Coturnix japonica: one gene and its partners. The protein of the gene in region 1 interacts with the protein of each later gene in a pairwise test. Links are inferred from orthologs where the notes say so. Each region holds a gene or a part of one and is shown in the gene's direction. Other genes may lie near its edges.

The links. The genes of interacting proteins can lie anywhere in the genome.
Region 2: the proteins of MTUS2 (region 1) and C7H21orf58 interact in a two-hybrid assay, tested with the Homo sapiens proteins (3 studies listed by BioGRID and IntAct). The two-hybrid records come from large-scale screens. The link is inferred for Coturnix japonica from reciprocal best matches to the Homo sapiens genes MTUS2 and C21orf58.
Region 3: the proteins of MTUS2 (region 1) and SPG7 interact in binary tests that used the Homo sapiens proteins (3 or more experiments, as listed by UniProt). The two-hybrid records come from large-scale screens. The link is inferred for Coturnix japonica from reciprocal best matches to the Homo sapiens genes MTUS2 and SPG7.
Region 4: the proteins of MTUS2 (region 1) and DTNB interact in binary tests that used the Homo sapiens proteins (3 or more experiments, as listed by UniProt). The two-hybrid records come from large-scale screens. The link is inferred for Coturnix japonica from reciprocal best matches to the Homo sapiens genes MTUS2 and DTNB.
Region 5: the proteins of MTUS2 (region 1) and CCDC60 interact in binary tests that used the Homo sapiens proteins (3 or more experiments, as listed by UniProt). The two-hybrid records come from large-scale screens. The link is inferred for Coturnix japonica from reciprocal best matches to the Homo sapiens genes MTUS2 and CCDC60.
Region 6: the proteins of MTUS2 (region 1) and ENKD1 interact in binary tests that used the Homo sapiens proteins (3 or more experiments, as listed by UniProt). The link is inferred for Coturnix japonica from reciprocal best matches to the Homo sapiens genes MTUS2 and ENKD1.

What each region holds. Positions count from the first base shown.
Region 1 is NC_029516.1:157,076,712-157,080,211, reverse strand, and holds part of MTUS2 (microtubule-associated tumor suppressor candidate 2), read left to right. Parts: coding exon 1-434; intron 435-3,500. UniProt on the Homo sapiens protein: Binds microtubules. Together with MAPRE1 may target the microtubule depolymerase KIF2C to the plus-end of microtubules. May regulate the dynamics of microtubules at their growing distal tip.
Region 2 is NC_029522.1:2,271,132-2,275,095, reverse strand, and holds the start of C7H21orf58 (uncharacterized protein C21orf58 homolog), read left to right. Parts: upstream 1-1,164; 5' UTR 1,165-1,611; coding exon 1,612-1,872; intron 1,873-3,251; exon of another isoform or gene 3,252-3,964. Other genes in the region: PCNT (pericentrin), read right to left, coding at 691-735.
Region 3 is NC_029526.1:16,665,999-16,670,088, forward strand, and holds the start of SPG7 (paraplegin), read left to right. Parts: upstream 1-1,290; 5' UTR 1,291-1,408; coding exon 1,409-1,501; intron 1,502-3,066; coding exon 3,067-3,169; intron 3,170-4,068; coding exon 4,069-4,090. UniProt on the Homo sapiens protein: Catalytic component of the m-AAA protease, a protease that plays a key role in proteostasis of inner mitochondrial membrane proteins, and which is essential for axonal and neuron development.
Region 4 is NC_029518.1:95,642,749-95,646,968, reverse strand, and holds the start of DTNB (dystrobrevin beta), read left to right. Parts: upstream 1-1,420; 5' UTR 1,421-1,479; exon of another isoform or gene 1,480-1,543; intron 1,544-1,869; 5' UTR 1,870-1,938; intron 1,939-3,481; exon of another isoform or gene 3,482-3,500; intron 3,501-4,220.
Region 5 is NC_029530.1:8,620,509-8,624,525, reverse strand, and holds the start of CCDC60 (coiled-coil domain-containing protein 60), read left to right. Parts: upstream 1-1,217; 5' UTR 1,218-1,485; coding exon 1,486-1,881; intron 1,882-4,017.
Region 6 is NC_029526.1:1,873,260-1,877,329, reverse strand, and holds the start of ENKD1 (enkurin domain-containing protein 1), read left to right. Parts: upstream 1-1,270; 5' UTR 1,271-1,296; coding exon 1,297-1,422; coding exon of another isoform or gene 1,423-1,484; intron 1,485-1,497; exon of another isoform or gene 1,498-1,517; intron 1,518-1,540; exon of another isoform or gene 1,541-2,070; coding exon 2,071-2,141; exon of another isoform or gene 2,142-2,201; intron 2,202-3,033; coding exon 3,034-3,128; intron 3,129-3,262; coding exon 3,263-3,487; intron 3,488-3,802; coding exon 3,803-3,975; intron 3,976-4,070. Other genes in the region: uncharacterized protein LOC116653968, read right to left, coding at 258-352, 444-770, 874-913. UniProt on the Homo sapiens protein: Microtubule-binding protein which regulates microtubule organization and stability. Promotes the stability of astral microtubules and facilitates the proper orientation of the mitotic spindle.

The sequences.
Region 1 (3,500 bases):
CTGCCAGCAGCAGCGCAATCCCCAAACCTATCCTGGTTCACTCCAAGGGCTCCCTCACAGATAAGGTGGATGCTGACAGTGACTGCAGTGAGAAACTGGAAGAAAGCATGGAGGTGAAACCTGCCATACCCAAGCCTAAACCCGTGAGACCTAAAATCATCACATACATCAGAAGAAACCCTCGTTCAATAGAGCAGCTTGACCCTTCATTTGCACCAGCAGGGCTGCCATACGGTACCGCAGCATGCACAGTGCCCATCTCCACAGAGCAGAAGGCATCTGGTGGAGGGGAGGGGAAGGCCCCCAGCATCCTGTATGACAAATTTAAACCTGACCTCCAGAAGCCAAGACTCTTCAGTTCTGGGCTGGTAGTGTCAGGAATTAGGCCTCCAGGTCATCACTTTGGCCCAATGGGTGAGAAGTTTTTGCAGGAGGTAAGCAGGTGGCTTTGACACTTTTGTGTGCTGGGTTGTGAGTGTTTGCTTACTTGTTGCTGCCAGAAGTTAGTTCTCAAACCACGAAGAAGTAAATCCTAAAGCAAAGCAATACATGATCAGTAGGAATAAACGTAACCTTTTCTGGCACTGACCTTGATGTGGTGTCTGATCTGTGACTGGAAGTTGTCACCGTGTTCCTCCAGCATTTCCCAGCATACAAGTCACCTGCTAGTGTATAAATAGAGATGTTTAGATAGGAAAAGGTGTGCTGGTTGAATTTATCCTTAAATGGATCTTCTGTTTTTTTTCCAAAGAACATCTTTTGGAAATTAATGTGATTTGCCTGCAGAAACTTTTCCTCCTTAATGGGAATCTTGGCTGGTTTTTGCAGTCCAAGCGCTAGCGGTCCATATGCATTCGCTTCTGTTCAGCTATACAGAAAAACAGGAACTGTCAGATTTCATTAGATTATATACATCATGCAGGAAAAGATTTCCTTTTGACTCATTTTAAGCAGTGTTCTGTATTGCCTACCATCTTAAATGAGAAAACACCTTTCCTGGGAAAGTCTTCCTGAGCAGCCAAAAGGTAATGGAAGTCCCACTGCCCACTTCTGGGACCTTATATCTGGTTGTGTTTCCACTTTGGTAAGCCAGGCAGGAGTGCAGGCTCCCTTAGTCCCTGCTGGGAGTTGGGCACAGTTGTTCAATGTTGATGTTGCTTGGTAGGTGGTGAAAAGGACAGGGAAGAGGGGGTTATATTTAGGTCTGTGATGTGCCCTTGAGTCTACTGCTTTGGACCTATGGTAGCTAGCTCAACAGAAAAGCTTTCTATGTAAATATCAAAGATCCCACAACTGTATTTAATTTTAACCAATTCTAAAATTAAAAAAAATAAATACAATTATTCATTTTATATACCTACCTCATTCTATATACAGTATTTATCCATGGAACAGCCTTGAAATAACACATTTGGTGACAGAGCTGACAATCAGAAGCCAGCAAATACCCACATTAAAATCTCATGTGTGACTGTTGGTTGGCCCTTCTTGCATGTTAACAGACAACTGTTCAGGTGATCTTAGAGTACAGATTTTGGTAAGAGTATTATCACATCTCAAGCAAAGTGCTTGCTGCCTTTCCCATTCAGGTTCCATAGTCCATGCCTTATGTTTTTCATCCAGAGGACAGATTAATAAAGTCACTGTGAGCTTGTCTGTGCCAGCCATTACTAGGGTATCTTCACAATCTCCCTGCAAGTTGAGAGAAAATTGCTGGATTATTACCATTTAACTGAAGTTAAAACCAGTGTAATGCAGGCTGTGCAGCTGTCTGGCTTTTTATGGGGTGACATGACCTTCATTAGCTTGGAGAAGAGAAGGCTCCAGGGGGACCTCATTGTGGCCTTTCAGTAGTTGAAGGGAGCACATAAACAGGATTGGGGAATGGCTGTCTATGAGGGTGGATAGTGACAGGACAAGGGGGATTGGTTTTAAACTGAGACGGGGGGGGTTTAGGTTAGATATTAGGGGGAGTTTTTCACACAGAGGTTGGTGACACACTGGAAGAGGTTGCCCAACGAGGTTGTGGGTGCCCCATCCCTGCAGGCATTCAAGGCCAGGCTGGATGTGGCTCTGGGCAGCCTCGTCTGGTGGTTGGTGACCCTGCACATAGCAGGGGGGTTGAAACGGGATGATCACTGTGGTCCTTTTCAACCTTGGCCATTCTATGATTCTCTGATTCTCTAGACCATAGTTTTCTACAGTCCATACTGTTGCTATTTGGAAAATCAGGCAACATTAGCTAACACAGCTGGAAACTAAGGACCAATTTCTGCTAACTGTGGAGGAGTATGTACATGAAAAGTACTGAGGTTATGGCAGGTATGCAGTGTGGTTTGCTCTACAGTAGAGTTAGCAGGATAACATTTATTTTCTGGAGAGGGACCAAAGCATCCTATCCCCCTGTAAATATGACTGAGTGGGTCTTTCAAGTGAAAGGAAAGCAATTGGAATGGGTTGAGGTATATCAGAATCACCCTGGCAGACTGGCAGTGTTGAAGACTCAAAGCTTTTGTAGACAAGGATATGCTGGGGCAGGATGACTACTCTACATCAACTTTGTGAGGGAAATATTCACATACCGCCCCATTTCACATATCCAATTTGGGCTTTGATCAGCATTTTTCTTTACATAGCTATGATGAGGCTGTTAATAGCTGCTATCAATCAGACCTGTAATCTCTAAGCAGCCATCAGCTTGCTAAGCAGTAGGCACAATTAAATGCCCCCTTTGGTGCTGTGAGCTGGAAGTAACAGGGAGGTGTTGTCTTGGGCATGACCTGTCTGAGGAAGGCTCGAGGGCTGTCTCTGAGGCTTTAATGTCTGACAGTGTTATAAACAAAGCAACATGAAGGAAGGTGTTAAGCAGCCTCACCTCCTGGCAGGGCTGCCGTATCTGCTCAGAGTTACCCAGGCTGTGGAAATTCCCAAATGGTTCATGTGTTTGCTTGCAGACTTTCCAGCTCTTTCTGACAAGTTCATTAAATGGGAGGAGTGGGGAATGCACAGTACAGTTCTGAGCTGAGCTTCCTGTTAGTGGATGGGCTGTACTAATCCAAATCTGTTTCAGCAGCTCTGTAGTGGCCTTATGATCAATAGTTGCATATGACTCTATGGGAACCAGTTAAATCCTGCGTTTGAGGAATTCATTGTTTAATACAAAAGAAAAAGGAACGTGTCTTATTAACAAGTTTACGTCTCTTTGTGAGCTCAGATCTCTAAGAACCAAATCTATTTCCTGAGAGACAGTTGGGTAAATCCTTCTTACTTCTTTCAGCTTGAGAAAATGTTTTATCCTTGTGATTGTTATGTGTGCATAAATCTGTGTTACCTGTAGCATGCTGTCAATAAAGATGAAAATGAGGTGACTGGAGGTTTCATTAAGCTGACCCAGTTTATTAGAATTGCCTGCGTTCTATATTTAGGGATTTTCCCTGCTCCTCATAATGAAGTACTTGGCATAAATACATTTGTTATATTTATTGGCAGCCAATATGAGA
Region 2 (3,964 bases), on another chromosome or scaffold:
CTTGATGGCTAACAGCATCATGGATGATACACTTCAGACTTCAGTTGGCCTCGCCGGCTGCCTGGGCACACTACTGACTCACACTCAACGTGCCATAGATCCAAATCTCTTTGAGAGACCTCGTGGCTGAGGGCTAGCATGTAACTATCTCATTCAGCAGTAACTTCTGAAAGCACACAGCAGCAACAGCTCAAAGAACAGCAGAAATACCGAACCACACGCCACCACAAACCGGCTTCCTGAACGACACGGTCACCAAAACAAAGCACAAGCCGGTAGCTCCCAGTTGCACATCAAGCACTGACCATACGGGCACACTCCGCAGATGGCAGGTACCAAAGGGAGCGGTGGCGACGCTCGCACCCAGAACTCTCCGTTGCCCCCAGCCGCGCGGCGGGGCCTCACCGTCCAGCCGGCCGCCCGAGGGCCTGCCCTGGCTGCAGCCCCGATGGGTCGCGGGAACGGCGCTGGAGCGGCAAAGCACGCAGCTCCCGCTCCCAGGCTGTTCTCCTGGAAACAAACCTTGAGAAACGGCAGAAACATGAGAGGAAGAAACAAAAACAACGCAAACAAACGCGGACCCGCAGGGCAGGGAGGAGAACAGCCGCTCTCCGCCAGGCTGCACCCCGCGGCCTCCGCCCGCCGCGCAGCGCGGCACAGCCCGCAGAGCAGCGACGCGCCGCTCCTCACCTTGGCTCTGCCAGCCTCCAGCTTGCGCGCCCGCGCCTCCTCCATCTCCTACAGAGCACGAACAACAGGACCCTACCGCGGTACAGGGCGCAGCCCGGCAGGCACACAACTTTCAGTCATGGCCGCCCCGCGGCTTTCGCCCCGCCCGCTTCCACTCAATTCGCCAATCGCGAGGCAGCAATTGTGGGCTTTGGCCAATCAGGTAGAAGAGGTGGAGCGGCCTGCCGGGGAAGGAAGGAAGCTCTGCGGGGATTGGCGAGAATCGCCGCGCCCGGGGAGCCCGCAGCCAATGCCGCGAGAGATGGTTGTCCCCGCCCCGCCCGCTGCCTCTCAGTAACTCCTGCGATTGACGGCAGCGCCCTCCGCTTCGACCCGCCCCACTCCAGCGGCCGCCAATGAAAGACGCCGCCTGCCGCGGCGCGCGGCTCGTTTCAAACGGGAAGCTCCGCCAATGGGGACGGCGGGGTGGCGCCCGGGAAAGCAGCCCGCCACTCGGCGCCGTGCTGTGGGCTGCGCGGCCTCGCGTCACGGCCGCTCTTCGGGCTCTTCTTCGCTGTTCTACAGCTCGGCTGTACAGCTCGGCACTGCCTGCCTTTGTTGCGGGAGGAGCAGCTGGGGGGAACTTGCCTGCTAACGGTAGGAGTGTAGTAAACAATACGTAAGAAAACGAGGGAGAAATAAGGTGCTCTGTACAACTTCACATTCATCTGCCATACTGGGAGCCTCTCCATCTCTTCAACTCACTGGACCACAACTGAAGGGCAACATAACAAGACACGGTTTTTAAAAGTGATTTCTCACCATATCTTAGTTCAGAGGTAACCTGTTGTAAAACACTGGCTTTTCCTTTCCAAGAAGCCTAAAAATGAAAATGTGTGTGGAAAGAAGCACAAGAAAGAAACACGTTCTAAGAACCAAAGGATGTTCTGTCTCAAAAAGAACCTTACTGACAGCCTAGTCCTGACCTGCCATGACTGGTTGTCCCCATCATCCTCCATCTTATTTATAAGCTTTCCCCAAGTACTGGAAGTCCTCAATGAGGTCTCCCCTCTGGCTGAACAAACCCAGATCCCTCAACCTTTCTTCATAGAGGTGCTCCAACCCTCTTATAATCTCTGTGGCTGCTCCAACAGCTCTGTGTCCTTCTCATGCTGGGGTCACGAGCTGGAGGCTGTCCTGCAGGTAAGGAATAAAGCATTGGTCCAATATGTTATATCCAAGTAAATATTTCAGCATGAAACAAAATAAATGGGGGAAAAAAAGAAAAAAGTAGACCAGTCAACTATACAGGGATATTGGACCAGAAAGTGACAGGAGATAAGCTCCTGAGACAGCACTTGGTCGCCTCCTGCCCTATTAACCCTTGGCTGTTTTCCTCCAGGAGCACTTCCAGGTGCTATGCAGTGGCCGTGCACTAAGCCAGGAAGCTTAGTTCCTTCCCAGTCAACCCTAGAAAAAGAGCAAATTTGTACTGTGAAATTTCTCAGTGCAAAAGCTTGAGTAGTTGACATGTTTTGAGAAGTAAAAGGAAATTGGAAAGCTTGGAACAAAGAATCTTAAAAGATAATGTTATAGTGTTTATCCTGGCAATTGAGCCAAATTAGATACATTACTTGAATGGATTTGCTTTAAAATAAATTACTACTTTTACTTATTATTGATAAAACCTGATTTAAATAACTAATAGTAACTAAATAACTCATGTTTGTTTGGGTTGAATGCCTTTTGGCTTACTGATATTTATTTGAATAACTAATTTGTGTTGTATTTCCTTCTATTTCTGCATGTTACAATTTCACCATTTCTAGTGCTAGTCTAACTACATTGCCTCCAGAACAGCAGTGCTTAAGAAAACCTCTCTTGGTTAGGGTTTCAGCTGTCCAGTAGTCTGCCACCACTGGACTTAGAGCACAGAATTCAGGTTTTGTGCTGTTGGATTAGCTTTGCCACACAAAGGATCATCGTGATAGAAGGATAAAGGGAAAATGCTCATTGTTGTTGAAGGTTCACAGCAAACTCCATAGAGGAACAATCTCCAGAGGAAGAGATGCTGCCTTAGTGGCAGTCAGCCCTTAAATGAGACCTGGGAAAGATGGAGCCAAGCTCCACCCCTTCTGGTAGCAGAGCTGAATTACCTTCACCTGTGCTCCCACAGCTGACTCATTGCTTGCTTCAGGTGGTTAATCAGAGATTCAGGTTGTGATCAACAGTTTCCCATACACCAGGTATGTCTGTTTGTTTCCTTTTCTAACATGTTTTAGAAAATAGTAATTAATATTGAGGCATAAAGTATCAAAGTCAATAAAAGACATCATAGAAGTGTAGTACTGGTTCAGAGCTCACCATTCTGTAACTGAAGAAGGATCTGATCCACCTGCAGTGTTCATCACGACTTCTTATGTGAATTGTTTATAAACATATTCTGTGAGAGCCCTTACTTACATAGCAGCTCCATCACTTATCATAAAATTAAGTTTTGTTTTTTTTTTGTTTTTTTTTTCTGTTTTCAACTGGTTTTCATTTTTATCATTAAGTCAAATGTTTCTTGCTCAGACTTTTCAGGCAATAAAATAAATCAATCGTGTCCTTAATATTCTTTCATTTATATTGCTAATTGGCTCTATCTCAACATTTAATCAATAAATTAAACAATGCCCGTTCTTCAAAGTCTTTCTCAGACCTTGTATTTTGTAAATCTACCATTCCTTCCATTTTTTCCCCTGGACTTCCTTTCCCTCTTATGCTGCCATGTCTAAAATTAGACACAGTGACTTCAAACTATGACTTCAGCACTGCTAAATAGAGCAGAATAATTACCTCCTGTGAGGTGCACATAATACCCCTGTTAATATTTTTCAGAATCAAATTTTTCTGGCTTTGCTTTTTTTGGATTTTCATGTTCATTTATGATCCCTGGTTCGTGATGCACAGTAACTACAGAAGCACCTTTTGTACAAGACCCTTGTGACTGGCATGCTGCTGGCAAGTTGGAAGATGTCCCTGTAGTAGGGATCCCACTATGATCAGAGCATCCATAGGTTCTGGAAAGCATTTTTTAGCTAATATTAGATTTTCTCTGGGACCTTGTCACATCAAGCAAAGGTTTCTCTTTCTGTCCTCTAACAGTCATCCCAGTTACTTAACACTCCTAATATATTTTTAATTAAATACTTCAGTGGGGCTGTTTTTGTCAACCTTTCTTGTAACCCTCTATTCCTATTACGATGAAGAGTTTAGAAACTTAACTTCTAGGGGATACTTTAAGAAACAACTA
Region 3 (4,090 bases), on another chromosome or scaffold:
ATCTCTCACATGCAGAGAGGACAGCACTTGCCTTCCCATGCACAGCTCAGCCTGAGCCGCCCACGCAGGAGTCGCAGTGCAACCATGGCGATTGCTGGCTGCACACAGAGCAGAACTTCTTGCTTCTCCTTCCTGGCATAGCTTTGTGTTGGCACGAGCAAGGCAAGGACCCCAGCACCCCCTTCCTGGTGGCTCGTCATCTGCTTGTCTTTGAGGCACAGTGTGAAAGAGGAATAGGAATTGCGTCAATTCCAGCTATGTGGTGTGTCTGAAAATAACCAGTCCTTGCAGATCTGTCACATCGAGGCCAACATCTTCTGGCTGAGAGGGTCCCAGAAAGAGCCCCACAGACCTGAAATGCTGTTTGCTGCAGTCAGTGAGCCCACATAGGCTCAGATAGACCAGGGTCTGTGCTGGAGCTTGGACTCACTCAGCTCTCGGAACCTTAATTCATTAAATGGGTGCAAGTTTGCCTGCACTGAGGCTGCAGAAAAAAGCATAAGGCAGGTGTAGCAAAACCCGTTTGGCTCCCTGTTGGGTCAGCATGGCAGAAGGCAGGACTGTCCTAAGCAAACTGCACAGCTTCACTTCTAATCGGGCTGTAATTCAATTGAAATGATGCAAGTCTTAAAAATAGATAGGCTTAATTAGCAACAGGTCTATTCACAGAGTCGGTAGAAGCACATTGTGACATGGCTTGAGCGAAGCTGTGGTAGCGAGGTACACGCTGCAAGCTCTGACCGGCCCATACAGACTAATTGCAAGCAGCTTAATTTTGTGTCTGTAAATTAAGCTGTTTGACGATTAAGGCAGTGATACACAGAGACTTCCAGGAGTGACGGGGACATTAACATGCTAATAGAGCTTGCTGGTGGAAGGTTTGCTCAGATACATCCCAGGGGGCAGATGACAATTAACGTCCTGAGAGACTCTTCTGGAAAGAGGATGGTAATTCAGACCTGCTGGGAAGGAAGAGATCCTTCACACTGATAATGATTTATGATTCCTTGACGTAGCCCTGCAATCTGCACTTCAAGAACGCCTGAGGTACATCAGGGTGGGTGAACTGGGAGAACCAACAGTGACAATACTGAGAGGACGGCCTGCATGGCCATCCCGGGGAGGAAAACAGGACAGAAGGAAGAATGTATATTTCTGCAGGGGATAAAATGGCAAATCAAAGCAATCAATGGTCAGGTGCGGGCTCATCCCGGTGCTGAGCTCGGAGCTCCCCGTCGCTGCGTTAACCGCGCTCCCGCCCCGCGCTGTCCCGCCCCCCGTGTCCGCCATCTTGCGGCATGGCAGCACGGCCGCGGCCCGCCCGGCCCCAAGATGGCCGCCCGCCCTTCACCGCCCGCTTCCGTCCCGCTGAGGCCTGCGGCTCCGGTTGCGGCGCGGCCGGCGGCTCATGGCGCTGCTTCGGCTCCTGCTGCTGCGGGGCCGCTGCGGATGGAGGCCTAACCCCGCGGTGTGGGCCCGGCCTCGGCCCCGGGGCCTGCAGGTAACGGAGCGCGGCTGGGCGATGCGGGGCCTGCGGGGGGAGCGGGGCGGTGCGGTGCTCGGAGGGCAATGGGTGCGGGAATAGAGATGGGAAAGGGCTTGGGTTGTTTAGAGCGAGACATAGACTTGTATGTAAAGTCATAGTCATACAATTGTAGAATCCTTAGGGTTGGAAGGGACCTTTAAGGGCCGTCTGTCCAGCTCCCCTGCAATGAACGGGGACACCATCAGGTGCTCAGAGCCTGGCCCTGGGATGGACCATCCATTGCATCCCTGCACAACCAGCTCCAGGGCCTGGCTGTGCTCTGTGTGTGTCACTGCCTGCTGGGGTTGTTTGGGAGGGTGTGGAACTGCTGTAGTGCTAATTAACAGCTGGGAGAGACCATTCTTATTTCTAAATCCTTACTAAAGACTATGGGAGACTGATTGATACTGAAGAAGTCTGACTCAGTGAATGTCACTCAAAGCAAATGCATCTTAATTTGGCAGGTTTCAATCTCAGATCCCAAAATATCTGGGTCAGCAGATGGGAAAATTGTCCAGAAAAGCCAGATTGGTGTATCTTGTGTGGAGGAATTCAGCTGTGGAGCCTGGTGCCCTGATTTCAGCACTGGTTGAGGTTAATGCACTGCCTGGGCACAGCCCATGGCAGGAGGTTGGAACAGATGACCTGTAAGGTCCCTTCTGACCCAAGCCATTCCGTGATTCTATGAGCTAGGCCTCCTGTAGGACTTAAAGCTCTCTAAAGTGCAGGGATCGAGTGCAGGCAGCCAGGTAGGCAGTGGAGGAAGGACAGCTGTGGGATTGCTGTGTGCATCATGCCAGGCTTTCCAACTGCTTCGGTTCTGTGATCCATTTAAATTAGTCCACAGTGTTCCACCCCAAAAAGCACTGGTGCTAACAGGGCAGCACAAGCAGCTGTGTTGCTGTCTAGCAAGTAAGGAGGGTGAGGGATTTCAGCCTAGTTGTTGCTCCTGTCTGGCTTGCTGCACAGCAGCTTGTCTCTGCCATTGAGGCACAGCGGGACAGGGAAACATACAGCTGAGAAAGGGGAAGACTTGTGTTTACTCAGGGTATTAGTTTGTGTCAACCTTCAGATGCTGTGAAATCACCCTTCCGTGTGGATTTCAGCCATAGGTTTGCTGCTGAATTCCCGTGGGGAAAACAGTTGTGTTACTGTTGTGAGAAGGGCTACAGTGTAGTAATGCTTAAGATTATCTGCTAGGGGAGGGTGTGTTTGTATCTGAAGAGTTGATTTCCCACCTATCTCTATAGCAGGGGCACAGCAAGGGAGCTGATCACAGTATCCAAGTGTTTTGAGTATACGTTTCTATTTATACTTGCTTTAAACTGGATTGTAAACAACATCTTCACAGTCACATGGCAAGCTCATAGCACAACCAGGAATAATATTTGGAGCTTCCAGCTGCCGGTCCTGTGACTTACCCACAATATTTTCATGTCCAGAAATCTTTGTCTCACGGGATGTGGGGCTGCTAAGCAGTCACGGTACTTTTCCAATAGTTGTCTTATTTTTGTTGTTGTTTCCTTAATCTTCCTCTTCAGGGCCTCCTGTCACAAACAGTTTCCCCCACGTGTCAAGGTCTCGGTGGGGTCCTGGTGAAGCAGCGCATCATCCGAGATCCAGCCAGGCTTTGGAATCTCTTAGGTGAGTCTTGAAGAACAACTGTACAGATGGAGGAGGAAAAAGGTCTTCTATAGGAAGCGTGTTGACTTTTCCTCGAGTTGAAATCAGGCTGTTCTGTTCTTGGCTTTGGGGACAGTGAGCAATCTGCAGGGGTTCTGGGTTATTGTTTGATGGCATAGAGGGACAGTAGCACCTTTCCCCAAGGAGCTCGGTGTGATGAAGCACTGGAGTCATCAGTCATTTATGAGCAGCAGACTTCAGACCGGACAGTCTTACTGTGTCTCATTAGCAAAGTTAAGAAGAAAACATCATTCACTATGAGAAACTGAAGCTTAAATCACTTACCTCGCTTCTCTCATTTTTTGTTGTTTTCTTGACAAAAAAAGCCTTCACTCCATTGTTCTGCAGCATCCACTCTGAGTTTTATTGTTTGTTGCCATGCTTTCTTGGCTTTTATTAGAGAATCCCAGCAGTGTGTTTTGAGAAACCTGCTTTTAACTCCAGCACACGGTTTCCTTTAGTGCCCATTTCCAGCTCCACTGTGAGGCTGCTTTTAACTGACCGTACCAGTTAACTTCAGTTATGCCTTGGGGAGTGTTTAAATGTTTCAGTACTGAATGCACTGCTCCAAATGATTTTCTTTGCCATACTGAAATCATGTCTGAACAAACTCATCTCTTCAATTGAATTGTTGAGAAGTGTATGTTATATAAGGAAACTGGAGGAGTCTGTCCCTCCCATTACTCCCTCTTATGAGGCTGTTTCATTTTCTTGGCAGGCAAATGGAGCTGTGTTCTTGGGTGGGTGTGGAACTTGGATTTCTGTGCGTTTGGATCTCATGTGTTTCTGCTGTCCTTGGTCCACCTCTCTCTGTCACCTGAGGTCTTTGGTGGTGACTGTGTAACTCTGCTTGCTTGCAGGTAGCACTTGCTATTTTACTAC
Region 4 (4,220 bases), on another chromosome or scaffold:
GAAGGAGATGTTTTTGGTGATCTGAGAGATTCCTTCCAGTCTGACATTTCTAATCACTCCATGAACCACGTCACATTTGGAGATGCCGTATGAAGGAGGGTCCGGCTCACCCGCTGTCACAACGCAGTGAGCTCAGACAAGCGATGGTTGTGTAAGCTTCATGCTCTGGCTCTTCAATGTGCCATCAAGAGCTCCCCTTGGAGCAGCCAATTCTGCACAAATCTCTCCTGTTGTAAGACCAGACCTGAGGTGGTGCTGTCCTCCTGCACTTCACCTTTCCGACAGCCAGCGGCTCCAATCTGCGCCATATTTTGCACCATTCATCACTGAGGAGAGGTTTGTCCTTGGAATGACTTTGCTGCCTCAGTGCTGGTGAGACCTCACAGCTGGGGAGCTCGGGCTGCTCCCTTTCCTTGGGTCTCTGTGGTTTCTTTGTGGTTCTTTTAGTATTCTTGCATCACTATGGGAAAAGAAAGAAAAAGAACACAGGCACATGAAAACCCATACACAGCCTGTTGGAAAATATCTCCTTTTACTTCAGATTAATTGAAAAATACACTGAGTTATTCCAAGTCCTCCACTTCTCCCTACAACACCTAACCAACCCCAAGGCTTTATTTTTCTGCTTTTATTTCTTCTTCCCTGCTGCTAAATTTGGGTTTGCCGTCTCCCTTCACACTTACCGAGACCCTTTGCTGACCTCCCCCTGAAGCTGGGCCAAACCACAGCTCTTTAAATGGCAGCTGTGCTGAAGCTGAGTCCCAGGAGGTGTTTTGCTCTTGTAATTCCATTCAGATGCGGATGGCTCCAATGCAGTGGGGGCACAGGGCAGGCAGCAGCGCTGGATGAGAAGAGGTAGAATTGTTTTACACAGCATCCCAGTTGGGTAAAAGGAAAACATAACAGTGGGCTGAATTAAAGTGTTACTGAGAGAGAACTCAAAGAGGGGAGGTTGAGGTTGGATGTCAGGGGGAAGTTATTTACTGTGAGAGCGATGAGGTGCTGGAACAGCTGCTCAATGAGGCTGTGGATGCTCCGTCCATCCTTGAGGGTGTTCATGGCCAGGTTGGATGTGGCCCTGAGCAGCCTGGGCTGGTATTAGATGTGGAGGGGGTTGAAGCTTCACTACCGCCATCTCGACGTCCCCTCATCGCCCTGAGGAGAGGCGCTGACCGCCCACTGCGCCTGCGCAGGAGACGGGAGCGCGCGAAGCCCCGCCGGCTGTTGATTGGCTGGAGAGCACGAGCGCTCCCGAGGAGGGGCGGGGCGAGCTCACGCACGTCCGCCGCCGGAGAAGCGTCCGCTCGCCGATTGGCTGTGGAGGTGAGGAGGCGGGGCGAGGCACGAGGGCTCGCTCAGCCATTGGCTCTCGGAGGCAGAGGGCGGGGTGGGATTGGCCGGAGGGTGCGCGCCCCCGCGGAGACGCTTTGCGATTGGCTGCGCGCCGTGAGGCGGCCGGGGACCGTTGGAGTGGGGACGGTGAGGCGGAGCGGCGGTGGATGCGGCCCGGGCGGAGCGGGGCGGGGCGGCCAACACGGTTATGGTGTGTGGGGGCTGCGGGCATCAATGGGACCGGTCGGATTGTCTATGTATTGGGCTGCGCTAATAGCGGCGGGCTCCGAGAGCCGAGAAACGGGGAGGGCGGCGTGGGGCTGAGGAAGGAGACCCGTCCCAAGCTCGGTGCTGGGAGTGCTGGGCCCTCCAGGCCGTGACATGGGCAGCCCGTCCGTGTACCGACGTGGAGCCTCCCGCTAAGGGTGCAGCATGAAGTTGGGTCTTAGCTTGAGCTGAACGGGGCCGATAACCGGCTGTTTGTCATAGTGGCTCTTTCTTTTTTTTTCTTTTCTCGTGTGGTTGGTTGTTTTTCAGGTCGTCCTTCGATGTTGGCAGAAGGAGTTGAGGTGGCTGCTGCCCTGAGAGGCTCCGTGTGCCATCCAGGTAATGTGGCATCCAGGTAACTGTGGCTGGGCTGATGTGCACGGAGCTAAACAGGCTGTGTCTGTGGGTTCATGGTCAACAGAGCATCCTTAGGGTTGGAAGGGAACCTTAAAGACCACCTGTCCCACTGAGCAGGGACACACAGCTCCATCAGTGCTCACAGCCCATCCAGCCTGACCTTGGCTGTGTGCAGGGATATCCAGCACCTCTCTAGGCAACCTGATGGACCTGGAGAGCCATAGTGCTATATATGTATATGTCATAGTGGTGAGGCTGGTCTCTTTTCAGTAGTGCGTGGGGATAGGACTAGGGGTAATGGGATGAAAGTACAACATAGGAAGTTCCTTTATACAGTGAGGGTGACGGAGCACTGGAACAGGCTGCACAGGGAGGTGGTGGAGTCTCCTTCTCTGGAGATATTTAAGACTCGCCTGGACGCCTACCTGTGTGACATGGTGTAGGGAGCTGCTTTGGCAGGGGGGTTGGACTCGATGATCTCTAGAGGTCCCTTCCAACCCCTACAATTCTGTGATTCTGTGCAGCGCTCCTCTTATTCATAAGTGATTGTTAAGCCCTAGATAGGCTGGGGAGCCCTTTGCCAATGGTTTGTGTGCTGCTTGAGAACGCTCTGATAACACTCGAGCCACTGCCTTGAGTTTGGTCATCAGCTGTGCAGTGCTGCTCTTTAAAAACGCTTTGTACTTTCAGTTTTCTTATTCACGTTCCTGAAACTGAGTGTGCAGTGCGTCAGCTTCCTTGTTCTGCTGTTGGCTGCTGTGGCTTTCCAGGCAAAAAAAAAAAAAAAGAAGTTAAAATTCTCATTTCCACGTTGGGAAATGTGAGAAACGTTGGCCTGAAGAATTACTTGGGTTGGTTTTTATTTGTCCTCCTGCCTTTCATTGGTAAGTGTGTGTGATCCTGTACTGCCAGCTGATATTACAAAGTGCACTCGAAGGAATAGAGGTAACCCAGAATTGTCTGTTTGAGGCTGTTGCTTTCTGTGTTTCCAAAGGATATTTTAGATTAGTGGAGAGTTTGGGTAAAAGGGTGTTGTTGCTGACAAGCAACTGGAGAAGATGGAAAGAATTAATTGCTGTAGGGCAGTTCCAGCTTAGCCCTCTCGTTCGTCACATTATTTGTCAGTACCAGCATAAATAACAGTTGTGAGTGGTATAGAAAGCAGCCTGCTTTTCTTAGCCTTATCACTGCTGCTCTTTAACTTTGTGCTTTTGGGGTGGTGAGATTTGGTGATAAGGACTTAAATTTGTAACATTTATGTTGAGTTATGTTTCGGGTTTTTCTCTCAGTGCCAAAGTGGAGAAATCATGATTGTAAGGTGCACATTTGGTTTAGTGTTTAGATAGGCTCCTGCTGATAACTTGTGCCTAAGCTTAGCTTCGTGGCTCTCTTGCAGTCATGGAATGAATCATAGAATGGCCTGGGTTGAAAAGGACCACAGTGATCATCCAGTTCCCCCTGCTGTGTGCAGGGTCACCAACCATCAGACCAGGCTGCCCAGAGCCACATCCAGCCTGGCCTTGAATGCCTGCAGGGAAGGAAAGGTGCTGTATCATATCTGTGTGCTTTTTACAAAACCTTCTTTAGAAGCAGCTCCTGATCCACTGTGTTTAAAAGAAAATTAACAAACACAAGGGAAAGCCCCCAAAATGTAAAAGCAACACCAAAAAAACGCTAACTTGTGACTTTGCAATGTAATTCAATACAGGCTTGGTCTTGATCTGGAGTTTCTTGATGATGCTCTTTTAAACTGCCATTCATTATGGCTTGTGAAGTTCTTAAGCAAACATTGGAGCTTTGTTTGGGATCCGTAGAACCGGGAGGTGTATGCGGTTCCTCATGGATGCTCTGTTGTCAGGTTGGTGTAGATATTGAGGTAACATATCAAAGCATTCTTAATACTTCTGTGCACCATTACTTATGCTTTAATTAATTCCATTTAGGGTTGGGAACTGAGTCTGAAATTGTAGTTGAACTAGAAGAATGATCAGAATTGTGTAAAATATGCTTTGAAAGAAGGCGTTGGTGGTCTGTTAGTGTGAGTGGCTCTTCTTTTTCTGTCCTTGGGTTTCCATTGAATGGTTTGGGTTGGAAGGGACATTAAACCTGTTAAATGTATGCCCATGAAATAACTACTAGAGCTCTTCCTTTTTCCTGGTAAGAGGTGTAGTGAAGTAAAGAATCATAGAATTAATTACAGAATGGCCTGGGTTGAAAAGGACCACAATGATCATCTGATTTCAGCCCCCCTGTTATGTGCAGGG
Region 5 (4,017 bases), on another chromosome or scaffold:
GATTCATTTTGGCTGGCAGCGTGCGGAGCAGGGTAAACAACACACGAGCAGTTCCAGGGCGCTCCAAACGCATCAGGCACACTTGGAGGCCCTTCTTCTTCCCATAGCCAAGGGTGTCTGTGCCCCCAAATTGCTCAGCTCCCTCCTGCCCCATTCCCAGGCTGGCATAGGGCATCTCTGCCCCTATGACCCCTGCAGCCCCTCTGTGGTTGCTCCTATGACAGCCCTCCCTCCCTCCATTTCTATTTCCTTGTTTTGGAGATTTCTCTCTGCTGCATCCCTGTTCTCTACCTGCAGAGCACATCTCAGCCTGCAGAAGAGCTTGTGAAAACAGCCAATTACAACTGAAACAATGGAACGAATCAAGGTAAAGCATCTCCATGGTGAAGGTAAAGCAAAGCACTGAGCAAAAGATCATGCAAAGCCTCATGCTGGGCTTTGGGTCATTCCCACTCAGTGTGGGGTCAGAGCAGTGCTTGTACTAGAGGTAGGCAGCAGGTGAGGAGCTGGATGTCACCCACTTCATTTCTTTCTGTTCCATTTGCACCATGCACTGCGGCTCCAGGATCTTATTACTTCCCACCTCATCCCTTCAACACATGCAGCCAGGGCTAAATGACTTCTGTGCCTCATTAGCAATGGGATCACCACTGTGTTAGCTCAGAGGTGTTTCTCTTCCTGCCTCAAACACCCCAATCCAAAGAGGGCACCTTGTGTCTCCTGCTCTGCAAAGGGTATTTTGGGAGGATCTCCCACACTTCTCACTGGGTTTAATGCCAAAGGCCCCAGGAGCAAAGGGCATACAGGGCACAGCCAGGGTTCTGCTGGTAGCCACCAGGAAGGGATGCAGCTCCAGTACAGGAGGAATGAATGAGATTCATTAAGTTGCAGTGATAAGCTCCAGATGTTGGTAATGGTGCTTAATGGATCTAATGCACTTCTCATGGCTGTGCATCACCAATGCACCTTTGGAGACCCTTGGTCTATCACTCCTATCACTCCTGCTGCTTCTCGGTGTTTTTGAGACTAAAACGAGCATTAAAAGTGGCCTGTGGGTTGTGCAGCTTGGGTTCCAAATCCAATCTCAGCCAACTACATGTTCTCATGCCCACTGCCCATGGCTCCAGGGGTGGGAAACCCACCGCCCCCCGGGCAGCTCTGCCAGTGAGGGGAGGGGGCGGCCCTCAGGAGGGACCTTGAGGGGGGCGGGTGATGATGCTGCAGCCGTGGGTCTGAAGGGGTTTGTGCTATGGAGGGAGGTGCTCGGCTCTGTGTACTGCTGTTCCCTGGGAGACGGGGTGGGTGTTAGGTTCCCGGGCAGAGAAGGGTTTGTTGCCGTGGAAGGAGAGCTGGGGTTCCTCAGTGGCTGTTCCTGGGTGTAGGAGGTTGAAAAGGTGGTTTGCTACGAGGTGGGTTCGTTGTCATGGCTGAGAAAGTAAAGTTTGTATTAGCATAAGGAGCACTAACAGCTCCAGCGCTGGAGCGATGCCGGCGCCAGGTGCGCCCAAACTCAGCAGAGCTGAGGCACCTGTGGCATCTAACGCTCAGCTCAGGGCTGCTGCACCGCCGGAGCCGGCCAAGGACGGTGGAATCAAGGTGACATTATGCAGCAAAGTGCCGAACCCGAAAGACTTCGTGCGCATTCGGCCTCTGCCTTCATCGGCTCAGACAGATGGGAAGGTGTTGGCCAGGAGTTTTACGCTGTACCGGAGCCGCGGGCCGCCGTCAGAGCAAGTGTTCAAGGAGACGTGGCAGCGGAGGGAGCAGCAGCGCACACAGGCGCTATTCACCCCCCGAGGGAAGCCCTACCGAGAGCTGGGCGATCTGTCATGTGCCGACCCAAAGCATTTCACCCTGCGCTCCTTGGGACAGCTCGCAAAGGTAGAGCCGGCTTTCTGCTTGTCTTTGTATAGGAAACAAAGGCTTCTCTTTTAAGTCCCCGCATGCAGGGGAGGAGAATGATTGCTGTTGTTTAAATCAGTGTTCCCTGCCTTTCTTGTGGAGAGCTGCAGTCTGCCCTGCTGCTGGTACAGGGTGTTTGTACAGGCTGGGCAACTGCTTTGACCCGTGCTATGGTTTGGGAGCTGGCTTTTGTGACTGGGAGCAGCTGTTAGAATGGAGTCGGAGCAATGGAAAGTTAATGAATGAAAAAGAAACTGTGGAATAATGAATGTGATTTAATTAAGGGAGAAGGTACAAGGTGTGTCTGGACAGTGGGAGGAGAGAAACCATTTTGAGGGTGTGAGGATGAAGGGTTAAAAAGCAAGAGCAGACAGTGCTGGTATTTAAAGGGTCAAAGGCTCCAAGTTGTGGATGTCCCAGCCCTGGAGATGTTCAAGGCCAGGTTGGTTGGGGCCCTGGGAAGCCTGCTCTGGTGTAACCAACTGCTGTTGGTTTTCCTTTTCCCATCCTAAGAAGTAACAGTTACCACACTGGGACAACAAAGCATTTGCCTGGCCCTGAATGCTTTGCTCCATCCCCACAAGGAAGGCCCAGAACTTCAGGCTGTTCTCCCTCCCAGCCTCATTATTCAAGTTGCCAGTGTGCTTTGCAGAAACCAATTTAAGCTTTCATTTTCTTTTTCCAAACATACAAAACCAAAAGTGGGTTCCTAACGGCCCAATTTTAAAGTACTTTATGACCTGCATTTTGGTTTTGTGTGAATTATTTATGCCCAAATCCTTCCATCCCTTAGCAGTCCCCATAGCATCCTGAATACCTTAAGGATATTGTAGGTACCGGGTGCATCCAATTCCAGGTGCCTGAGAGTGCTATGAAATATGTTGTATTTGATGGATGACAAATACAACAAAAACAGCAAGGAGCTAATAAAGGCCCTGGGAATTCAGGGGGCTTCAGTATGTTGAATCTGCTGGCAAATGTCACAGATATGATAACAAAAGAAGCCCTTAGCAGCTAAAAACATTTTCATAATGAGTGTGCTGAGATGGTTACACAAAATGATATGGGCAGAGGATATTATATGTGGTGATTACATGTTTAGGGTCCTTTTTATAGCTACTGGATGCTAACAAATGTGTTTAGAGAAGCTGTATTTGTCCACTGATGCTGTGTCTTTATTAAGTACATTTGGTGGCTGAAGCCTGAGAGCTGATATTTGAATGTTCTGATTGTTGCATTGGAAACTGCTGCTCTGTGATCACACAGTGGAAGTGGCATCTGTCTTGCAATAAAAGCTGGCTCGGTGCAGAGACAGAATTCCCTTCCACTAAAACTCTCTGGAATGAAATGAGCCCATTTCCAGACTAGTAAGAGTATCTGGGAGGAAAAACTTAGCAAGTGTCCCTCAAACTCTTCACAGAGAGACTGATGAGGTGCTGGAACAGCTGCCCAGAGAGGCTGTAGATGCTCCATCCCTGGAGGTGTTCAAGGCCAGATTGGATGGAGCCCTGGGCAGCCTGGTCCAGTACCAGATCTGGAGGTTGGTGGTCCTGCCTGTGGCAGGGGGTTGGAAACTGATGATCCTTGGGGTTCCTTCCAACCCAAAGCCGTTCTGTGATTCTATGAACCTTTTGAATGTCCAGTACAAATAATTGGAAGTTACTTCATTCAGTCTGAGGGATTTTTTTTCTCTCTTTCTCAAAGGTCAACCACGTATTGCAGACAGCACTGATCCATGGATGCTTTCCAGACAGTATTTTTGATCTTTCAGAGCAATGTGTTAAAGGTCTTTTTCTTATTCCTTCATGTGGCAGCTCATGTGGTGATTGGCCGCCCTTTATCGATGTTTATGTAGCTTCTTTGCTTAATTGCTATGACAAATTCATTTGTTAAGCTTCTGAAGTGGCTCGTTGACTTTTCACACGGAAGAGAGGTGGCCTTTCTGACAGAGCCCTAAAAACAATCCAGGTTCACGAAATTATTACCGTCAAAGCCTACTCCATGCTTGTCATAAAAACCTATACTGTAATTCTGTGCTTTAGATAAATAGATCACTAGATAAGATTGACGGCAATATCAGCAATGAAAGGTTTTAAGCTGGAAACTGGAGAAGAA
Region 6 (4,070 bases), on another chromosome or scaffold:
GGGCCCCTGGGAACACCCAGAGTGGCACACACGAGGGCAAAGCCTCCATCTCTGAGGGGCTGAGCCACAGCATCCTGCACATCTCTGCTCCCTCCCCATTGCCATGACCTGCTGGCAAGTCATTCCCCTCCTTGCTGGCCTGGTTGGCACAGAGTGCTCTGTGCCTGGCCCTGCATGTCAGAGGGGCTCCCAACCATGCATCGTGCTCACTGAGCCTTGCTGGACTTCTCTCTCCAGCCCTGGAGCAGCTGCCCTACCTGCTGCCTGCCTTCCCCTTCCCCTCCTGCTGGGCACATCAGCTCCGTGCTGAGGTTGATGTACTGATACAAGGGGCGCAGACGTGGCAGCCGGCCTGGAGGGGAATCACAGAACGGTTTAGGCTGGAAGGGACCTGAAAGATGACGGAGCTCCGACCTGCTGCCCTGTTCCCTATGGGTGCTCACCCAGCGCGTCCCGAGGTGGGACCTTTTTGCACGGCTGCGTGTTGCTCGTGCTTTTCCTCTTCTTGCTCTTTCCCTGCGGCTCGGCAGCGGGGTTGGCATCGCCCTCAGCAGCGGGGGGCTGCAAACCGGGGTCCTGCAGCACCTGCAGGTGAGTCCTGCGGGACAGGGATGTGCTGCAGGCCATGGCCAGCGCTGCGCCGTGCGGCTCAACACGGCGGTCGGTGCAGCACGAAGCCGGCTCCCGAAGGGGACGGGCCGCCTCACTTTGCGTCCTGCGTTGGGGCGGACATGGAGCAGCGCCGGGATCCGACAGCGGCCGGGAGGAGGCTGCGGGATGGACGGGGGGGCGTTACCGGGGGAACGCAGCAACAGCGCGGCACTAAGCCCGGCCCGTAGCGGGGCCGATCCGAGCCGCCCATCGTGCCCACACCTCCGTGCAGGCGGGGCTCAGCCCGGCACGGCCCCAACATCCCCCCCCGGCGGAAGCGGCGGTTGCCCGGAGCGCGGTGGGTGCGTGCGGTGCGGCCGGAGCCCGGCGGGTGCCTCCATCCTCCCCCATCCCATCCCATCACATCCATCCCATCCCATCCCGTCCCGTCCCCCCGCAGCGGTTCTGACCCGGTTCCTTCCGCCCATAACGGTAGGGAAGGAGCCAACGGCCCAATTGCCACGAGCGCTTTGCTCGGCCCCGGCTGTCTCGCTCTGCTGCTCGCAGCTCCTATCGCAGCTCTTATCGCAGCTCTTATCGCAGTTTATCCACAGATGGATTCATTTATTCCTTTGTTCCCCCCGTGCTTTTTGCAGAACCGGGCTCGGAGCAGCACAAAGCCGAACAACGCAGCTCCAGCTCCGCATGAGGTCGCAGCTCCCCGGCCGGGCTCGCAGCTCCGGTGGGTGGCACCGAGCTGTGCTGGAAGAGGAACGGCCGGGAGGAGCGAACTGCGGGCAGCTCAGTTTCCCTGCCCCCCCTGCAGCCCGGGTGAGCAGGAGCTGCTCACGTACATCTGTTTGCTGCTGGCAACAGCTGCTTTTGATGCTCAGGTTTCTAACACAGCTTTACAGATGCTTTCCTAGGTGCATATTAGGGCTGGCCTTGCTCCACCTGTAGCCACGTGCTCCTGCTGCTCTCCTCCTGCTTGCACGGTGCATCTCTGGTTCCTGCGTGGGGTTGCAGCTGGGTGGGATGCAGCCTGCTCAGCCCTCAGCTTCCAAACAGCCCCATCCTCCAGCCCTGCTGTCCCACCGATAGGAGCAAAGCAGCCACCTGCAAATCCTGCTCTAGGGAGCTGTAGGTTTGGATGCTTCATCCTAAGGCCAGATGATGATGATGATGCTGGGGATGCTGGGGGCTGTTGTCCCACATGGGAGGGTTTGCTGTGAGCACCCAGATAGGCAAAGCACTGTCATAGTGCTGTGTGATCTTGTGAGATCCAAAGCCAGAGGCAGCGTGACTTGTAAATCAGGGTGTGGGTGTCATCTGCAGGCTGCCTGCAGCAGGGCAGGGTGCCACTGGGATGTGGGCCCTGTGTTCAGGTACAGGAGGAGCCTTCCATCCCCCACCTCCCATCCCATCTGCCTGCCTTTCCCCCTCCAGCCCCCCCTGCTCTAATTGCCTGCTCTGTTACAGGGCCTGCTTTCACTCTGTCATTTTGCACCTAAATTACTGGCGTTGGAGGAGAGTTCAGACCGAGATCAGATGTGAGTCTCAAGGCCAGTAACTATCCCGGAGTCATCTCTTGGAGGATGCTTTTGTTCTTGGTATAAGAGAGTCCATTCTGGCTTAGCTCTGTCCATTTTAAATGGGATTAAATAAGAAGAGAATGGTGCTGTTTTACTGCAGCCTGAGACTCTGAAGCATTTCAGGAGTAGCCTTTGCAGGATGACTGGGTACAAAGCAGCCTCTGGACATGCCTGCTGGTGTGCAGTGCTTGCACTGCTTGCGTTGCCTCTGCAGTTGTGTCTGGGAGATGAATAATAGCTTTTTGCTAATGGGTCTCATGTCAACAAGGGTAATTGAACAGGGAAGACAGCAGTGCATTAGTTGCTATGAGTCAGGCTCGCTCAGCCTTGCACTGGTTGTTTATTGGTTTCTAAATGAAATGGGAGATGCTGTGTCCTGTCAGTGCTGGAATGCTGAGGATCCTAAAAGGGGCTCTTCCCATAGGGCTGAATCTGTTGGTATTGCAGACCCAGGAGTCAGATTTTCTGTGCTGAAGCTGTAGGCAGACATTGAGGATCAGTGCTGGTCAGTCCTGCAGTAGGGGTGGTGCTGCTGGATCCTTTGCCTTACCTACATGAAATCACAGCACGGTTGAGTTACAAGGGACCTCAAAGCCCACCCAGCCCCAAGCCCTGTTGGAGGCTGGTTGCTCCCCAGCTCAGGCTGCCCAGGGTCCATCCATAGCCTGGGGCACCTGCAGGGATGGGCACCCACAGCACTGGGCAGCCATGGGGTCCATTTGGGGTTGTTTCCTACTTGCAGGTTGTCCCTGCAGTTGGATATGAGCTCTCTGACATTAGCTGCAGCTCTGCAGTGGCTCCGTGAGCTGTGTTTAGTTCACCTCTCACTCATGGTCGGTTTCCATTGCAGAGACAGCAGAATGTGTGAAGGGCCATCCAAGATTTCTGGGCCCATCCCTCCAGACCCTACGGTCTTCCCAGACTATTACAGACGCCCTTTCTCAGGTGAGTCCTTGGGTGCTTATAAGAAGGGAAAACATGAGGCAGAGGTGCAGGGGGACCTTTGGCATCACTTGCTTGAAGAAAGCAGTGATGTGAGATGGTGCCAACCTGCTTTTTGTTTCTTTCTTTCTCTGTAGCTCGGGGGAGGCTGGAAGGCAATGCTCAGCGGTTGGATTTTACCTCTCACCCCACGGATTCAGCTCCCAGCTCAGCCCGTGCTTTGAGCAGTGCCCAGCAGCCCCAACCAGCCCCTCGCATCCGCCCCAGCGGGAGGGACTACTTGGAGAAGGGGCAGAAGGGAACGCTCGGCCTCCTGCTGCAGCTCGATGGGCTCTCTCTTGGTGGGGGTCTGCCAGCAAAGAGTAAGTGCTGCCTGGCTCTTATTGGCTTTGTATCCTGGCATTGCCCCAGGCTCTGGATGGTGCCAGTGTGGTGGTTGCCACAACCACTGTGCCAAAACTGGAAGGGAACCAGCTGAGGTCTTCCAAAAACAGGGTCAGCCCTCCCAGCATGGGGGGCAGAATGCACAGATTGTGTGGTCTTTGGTGGGGGGAGGACTTGCTGTTTCCACGGGTGGATTTAGAGATGGAGCTGTCAGCTCTGGTGTTGTGATCCAGGAGCCTACGTCTGCTGGCAGTGTTTGAGGGCTGAAAGCTGTGTCTCCCCTCGCTGTGCAGGGAAAGAGTCCAAGGACCATGAGAAGGAAAACGTGAGGAGAATAAAGGAGATTCAGAAGAAGTGCAAAGAGAGGGAGCGAGCCCAGGAGCGCAGCCAGCCCAAACCTGTGAAAGCTCTATGGAAATCCCAGAAATATGAGAACGTGGAGTCGAAGGTGAAGGCCAGACTGCAGGTGTGTGCCCAGGGGGCTCTTCAACTCTCCTGGCGGGTCAGAAGAATAAAATCCCATCACCCGTTCTGCCTGCTGCCTCCTGTCGTAGCAATCTG